Bombyx mori: one gene and its partner. The protein of the gene in region 1 interacts with the protein of each later gene in a pairwise test. Links are inferred from orthologs where the notes say so. Each region holds a gene or a part of one and is shown on either strand. Other genes may lie near its edges.

Region 1 (3,130 bases):
CCTTCTTGGATGATCCAAGGTTTTTAACTGCCAGGGACAAGGCCTATAAATGCGTGGTAAATGATACAACTGTTTTTAAACTTGAGTTGCCTTCATCAACTCTTGCCCGTGGTAGTAAAGGTACAGCTCCTGAAAGCAAGTGCCCTGAACTTCTCGCTAACTATTGTGATATGTTATTACGAAAAACACCGCTAAGTAAAAGATTAACTAGTGAACAGATAGAAATAAGATTAAGAGACGTTTTGTTAGTTTTGAAATATATTGAAAACAAAGATGTATTTATGAGGTATCATAAGGTTCATTTAACAAGAAGATTGATATTAGACTCAAGTGCGGACTCTGAAAAAGAAGAGGATATGGTAGAGTGGTTACGTGAAGTAGGTATGCCTGCAGACTATGTAAATAAATTAGCACGAATGTTTCAAGATGTAAAAGTAAGTGAGGATCTGAATACACAATTTAGGGCAGACACAACTCGTCATGATGCCATCAATATTAAAATACTCAATGCTGGAGCTTGGGCCCGTGGATCTGAAAGAGTAACAGTAAGTCTGCCACTAGAATTAGAAGACTATATTCCTGAAGTTGAAGAGTTTTATAAAAAAAAGCATTCAGGTAGAAAATTGCAGTGGTATCATCACATGAGCAATGGCACTATAACATTTGCTAATTCAGTAGGTCGTTTTGACTTGGATGTTACAACTTTTCAAATGGCAGTGCTATTTGCATGGAATCAAAGACCTATGGAAAAAATAAGTTATGAAAATTTGAGATTAGCAACAGAACTTCCAGACCCTGAACTGAGAAGGACTTTATGGTCTCTTGTGGCTTTCCCAAAATTAAAAAGGCAATTGTTGTGCTATGATCCATTGATTCAAAATCCTAAAGACTTTGTCCAGAATACAATATTTTGGGTAAATCAGGAATTTGCGCTTATTAAGAATGGAAAACCACAACGTAGGGGTAAAATAAATTTGATTGGAAGACTTCAGTTGAGTACAGAGAGATCTCAAATAGAAGATAATCATTCCATTGTGCAGCTAAGAATATTGAGGACTCAAGAGGCAATCATAAAAATACTAAAGATGAGGAAACGCATTACAAACACAGCACTTCAGGTATGGAACTTATATATTTTTGTTTCGATGTACAGTAAAAGCTCTATTTGCAGGCTATATTTTCCCTAAATATGCTGCGAATATGGAAAAGCGCGTTTACAAAGGATGTTCGGTTCGACCTCCTACCTTGGAATCTTTTATATCAATGTGTATGTACTGATTAGATTTCGAGATAGAGATTCGTGAATCAAGAAATCTTTAGGCGCGAACGTAGGCATTAGGTCGCATTTTTTTAATCAGCGAATAGTGAAAGCGCGAATAAAGAGCTTTTACTGTGTTAACTTTGAATATCTGTTCCAAACATGTGTACATGAATGCTTTCCACTAAAAACAAATATGTATATAAATACTTAAGGTAAGCTTTTTGTGTTAGGAGATTGCATCAGTAAGTACTGTATTCCTTACAGGTTACACTCATAATAGTGCAAAGTGGTCTTCTACCACATGGGGTAGTAGTGTTTTTATATTTCAGTAACCACACTTGATACCAAGTAGATACTGAGCTAGTTCATGCTGCACAAATGATGATTGATTATAATTTTGCCATGACTTAACAAAAGAAAAATTTGAACATACTTAGGTATAATAAATTGGTTTGGAAGAAAGCCTTTGCTTAAATAAATAAGTTTTGACAATGTTTTCGTAATTGCTTTCATGATTCTTAATTCTCCAATAAATGTTATATGGTATTTAAATAATTGAAAAGGTGTGTTGGGTTCACATATTCAAATATTACATCTTATTCTAAGCAGCAGAAATTCAGACGATAAGGGCTGACGAAGTGACGAAGATCACCAATTGAAGATTTTTCTTGTATTGTTCACTAATAAATACATTCTCCTTGTCTCCACCTTATACCACTAAGTGGGATCGACACTGCCAATGTTTGTATTCTCCTCTATCAGCCGTCATCTCAACACTCACTCCTCTCTCTCTCATATCGTCATTCACACTCCATCCATGTCTTCTTCGGTCGACCTTTTTTCCCCTGCAGGATACCACAATTTCCATACATCTCCTATTTACGTGCATCTCTACGCATCACAATATGACCATAACACGCTAACCGTCCGCTCTTTATAAATAAGTAACAAATTTTTATTATTTTTATTCCTTGCAGAGCGAGCTGGTAGAGATTCTAAAAAATATGTTTCTACCATCGAAGAAAATGATAAAAGAGCAATTAGAATGGCTTATTGAACATAAATATATGCGTCGCGACGACGAAGATATTAACACGTTTATATACATGGCCTAAAGTCAATAATGTAAATGAATAAAATCAATAAATTATTTACTCTATTTCTCTGTTTATATATCTATATCTGTAGTCTCTGTTAATAGTTCAAAATATCATGTGTTGTTTATTAGTAATTGTAAGGTAGGTAACATAAATGCATATTGATATTATGTTAATATTTTATTAAATACATAGAACATAGTTTACATTATTAAATGTAAAAAAAACATAAAATTAGTTGTTGGCTGGTTCTATAGTTGTACCTCCTTGAATTTGTCCCCAACCAATTAACCTGAAAATAAGTAATAATATGTTGACAAAACTTGTTTCAAAGCACATGTGGTATACCAGTTATGCATTGATACTAACCGCCAGTGATTTTCTACTCTTCTACTCAATGCTACTTTTTCTCCAATTTCCGTGCAAACAGGGTTCGTAAGGGCGATTTTAGCCAAATCAACTTTTGTGGCGATTACTCGGCCGCCAGTACTTAACGATCCAATATTTACGAGGAGGACCTAAAAAATATTTAATGTGCAACTTTAATTACAATAGATGTGTGATCAACCTAACGGCCCAAATAGTGCTAAGACATTACTGTAGTTTCTAAATAATGTACCACTGTTAATTACCTCATTTTTGACTAATTTTTGGACTTTGGCAGCCTTTTTATCTCCTTCAGTGCGCACGCCAAGCAAACGTTTCAAAAGATAATAAGATACTTCGAGTTTGACAAAAATTCCCGGTAAACATCCAACTGCTCCTAATACCT
Region 2 (3,897 bases), on another chromosome or scaffold:
TGTTTTATTTACGTAGCTTCTCGGATTCTTCCAAAAAGTCCATTGAAAAAGGCTCAATAATTAACCACATTTTTTCTGAGACTATATTGCATCCCATCTCATTTTGTTTCATTTCATTTTATCCCAATTAATTACAGTCTCAAATAAAACAACTTTAACTTCTATTCGTTCCATATCATTTTTCATATTACCAATTTAATCTAAGAAGAAAATAATATAAGGCTTGGCTTAAAGGTCTCGTTACCTGGCCCTAAAATCTTTAAAACGAAGGTGATTTTGTCTCGAACTAAATATTGACGTATTTAGACTAAAATCTAGACAAATTACTTTGAATTCATTCAAATTACATAGAAGAATAACTCCATCTTCAAATTGCTTAGAATATTTTCGGAACATAGTCTTGCTTTGCCAAAGTTTATGCCAATTTTAACGTCTTTAATTTTATGTTAGCTGTACGTTGCTGCAATATTACACGTAGCGTAGGTAGACCTCACAAAAAGGGAACCAACGACCTGTCGTTCTGGCGAGGCCTGGGGAAGGCCTATGTCCAGCAGTAAACGTCTGTGGCCTAAACGATAAATAAATAAATATTTAACGGTACATTGCGGTCAAAGAGCAAACACTTTTTAAAATCTGTTTAAACATATGCTATTTCTTTACACTTTTTGCCAATAAAACAATTTAAAAGATCTGTCGTATGAGCAACGTACTCTGTACCTATTCAAGAGAAAATAAACATTTAAAAATGTCTTTGGTAGATTACACTAGCAAGCCAAAAAGCTTTTGGCTACGAATGCGAGGAGCGAAATTATGTGAATTGCTTTATTTTGTTCAATTAGTGCTTTTTCAGGTTTAAATGTCTAATAGCTATATAGTTTAATAACTGTTTAGCATCCGCAAAAGCGCACAAACGCGGAAAAAGTCGCCGTGGTCTAAAGGATAAGAGGTCCGATGCATTCGAATGTAGCGATACATCGAGCCAGTGATCGATGAAACAAAGCCGCTAGTCGTAGCTTCTCGGGTTCTTTCAAAAAGGCCTATGAAAAAACTCAGAAAATAACCACTATTTTACTGTTACCTTAATTCATCCAATGTCATCTTATTCAATTCATCTCATCTCAAATTATTCAATTTCATCTCATTTCGTTTCATATCATTTTTCATATTGTAACAGAAAATAAGAAGAAAAATGGCTTTGGCGAAAGGGCTCGTTATCAAGTCATAAAATTATCAAAAAAAAACTAGTACCTAAACCAAAGCCGTCTAAAAGGTAAAAACCAGTCAACGTCATTGACGCATGAAAAAGTGACAAAAATGGTGCCCGTTTACCAGCTGGCAGTGGCTATCATTGTCTGATGAAAAAAATCAACCCTTTTGTTGTAATATACATTTGGAATGGCGTCTGTTTTAGAATTAGTTAAATACTACCAACATAGTCTGGAAAAGAATTCTCACGACGAACCGAAAGTAAGTGAAGTTTTCAAATATTGAAGACTAATGAATTTCACAGCAATAGGAAGTCGATTGGAAATATATTCAATATTTACTGAACCCAAATTATGCAGTGAGGTGACATACGGTTTTACAACGAAACTTTTAACGCTATCAATACTGAATACAGTAAAAAAAAAACTGACGAAAGTCCTCCGACAAACTTTAAAGTTTTTACAAGGAAAACGTTAAATAAACTATAAATGTTACAAATCATAAAGATAAGATACAAGTATAATTATAATAACTATCAGAACGCAAATCATATATCAGATATAATATAATTCATCAGCACTCGACCTCAAAAATATACAATAACCCTACTGAACTTTTATTAATCAACAATAAAAAGGCAATGTGCAACAAATGATTAATAACTTATCGTATTTCAATGTGAAACATCACGAAAAAGTTATTAATCTAATTGACTGAATGAAACACAAACATTCACCAGAAGTAAACCCTTTACGTTAGTTATTAAGCTTGAATATCCTAGTGGAACGGTTGAAATCAAGTATTTATTCTTCAATTAAATGTATTGTTTTGTAGTAATGAAATAAAAATATAAGAATAACAACCTGAAGAATAAATATTCAAATTAAGTTAGCTAACTTTGGCAATATAATTTTTGGAAAATAGTTTTCATTGTATGATCCAAAATTTAGACACTGATTTGTGGTCAACTGTTTTTCGTCAAATTTATTGTAATGAATGTTATTGCATCAACGAAGACATTGTTTTTGTGAGACTTTCTGTAACAGCACAAAATTTATTTTTTGTCACTCAATGCTTTTAATCTGTTAGTAGAGATGACAATTATCACAGCATGAAGTTAAAAGCTAACAACTATGGCATCTGTTAAAATTAGACATGGTAATTATGTGCTAAAAAACAAAACAATGGTCATTAGCCCATAGTGACTTACGCTGTTGACAAGGCTGCTGCCTTAAAGCATTCCATCCAGTCCAAAATAGGGTTAATAGAAAAGAAAGAAAAAGAAGAAAAGTAGAATCTACTCAATAAAGGAAAATGGTTACATCTTTGTCATAAACAAATAGTGTTTGTAGAGGGACAGACAACTTTGTATTGTCTTATTAAATTCCTAGTACCTCTAATAAATTACTTGTGATAAACCAGATATTGTACCTGTATACCTTATAATAGTATATTATAATACCTTAAAATCTTTATTTTTTAGATTTTAAAATGCATAGACAAACTGAGTCACTTAGATGTGACAGTTCAACACTTACAAGAAACAGGTATAGGCCGGACTGTCAATGCATTACGAAAAGAACCAGGAGATGTTGGTCCTGCAGCCAGGGCTCTTGTTTACAAGTGGAAAGCAATGGTAGCAGCTGAATCAAGCGATAATGAGGGGGAGTCAAATACAGAAAGTAAGTTATTCTTTAAAACTTGTCATGAATTACCACTTTTTGTGATGGTGCTAAAAATTTTTTTTTTATCATTAATAGCTTCTAATACTATCAGTTAATTTCATAAAAGTAAGATACTGGAAGATTATTATATTTGCTTATAGCTTGAAATGATTTTTCCTGTAGCCTTGTTACATTACTACTTGAAAACTTGCTATGATCTAATTTGGCAGACACTCACAATGGGCAGAGAAATGATAAAGATAGAGAACCTGATAATAGTCAATACACTAAAAACCAATCTGAACATCGGGAAAGCATTTCAACTGCGCCTAAAACAAATCAACAAGTTCACAGAGATATGAATGGCCACCATGGTGGCAGCAAGAGGAAAAGCCATAGCAGTGAGGTAAATATTATTGATATTTTATAAAATTGCAAGGTTAATGGAATATAAAACAATGGTAAACGTCATAGTTTTAATTTTTTGAAAATCCGGTTGTTTCTAGTGAAAGAACATAACATTGCATAGTTGTTAGGTTACACATACATGATTTTTAAAATGCTAAAGTTTTTATAACTCCATGTCTTAAGTGGAAGTAGTTTCAGAATCAAACTAAATACATCAGATTGTTAAATAGGATTAGGGAGGAAAAATTACAAGTGTAGGTTACTTTATATAATAGAGTAATATAATAATATAGCTTGATTTCATAATAAAATCGGCTTTCCTAGACCATAAAATATAATAAAGCTACTTTCACTCTGTGTAGATTTGTGTCATCAAAAATACTGTTTAAACAAAATCGTCCATGCCATTTGCATAATTAAATTCATTTTGCTTAAATTAACATTGGTGTTGGTCGTGTAGAATAGATTAGGTATATGAAGGACTTAATTTATTTAATTTGCTCAAGTGGATGCTTAGAGAAGTTATATGTAATATGAAACTCCAATTTAATGTAGTTTTTAGTCAACCTTACAACTTTTGACCAACCAATAATTTGAGGTTGGTGTATCAGAGAACAGG

The links.
Region 2: the proteins of cullin-5 (region 1) and transcription elongation factor B polypeptide 3 come close enough for resonance energy transfer, tested with the Homo sapiens proteins (3 studies listed by BioGRID). The link is inferred for Bombyx mori from reciprocal best matches to the Homo sapiens genes CUL5 and ELOA.

The regions. Positions count from the first base shown.
Region 1 is NC_085129.1:7,724,678-7,727,807, forward strand, and holds the end of cullin-5, read left to right. Parts: coding exon 1-1,118; intron 1,119-2,238; coding exon 2,239-2,376; 3' UTR 2,377-2,420; downstream 2,421-3,130. UniProt on the Homo sapiens protein: Core component of multiple cullin-5-RING E3 ubiquitin-protein ligase complexes (ECS complexes, also named CRL5 complexes), which mediate the ubiquitination and subsequent proteasomal degradation of target proteins.
Region 2 is NC_085112.1:7,690,966-7,694,862, forward strand, and holds the start of transcription elongation factor B polypeptide 3, read left to right. Parts: upstream 1-1,050; 5' UTR 1,051-1,395; coding exon 1,396-1,467; intron 1,468-2,689; coding exon 2,690-2,888; intron 2,889-3,100; coding exon 3,101-3,276; intron 3,277-3,897. UniProt on the Homo sapiens protein: SIII, also known as elongin, is a general transcription elongation factor that increases the RNA polymerase II transcription elongation past template-encoded arresting sites.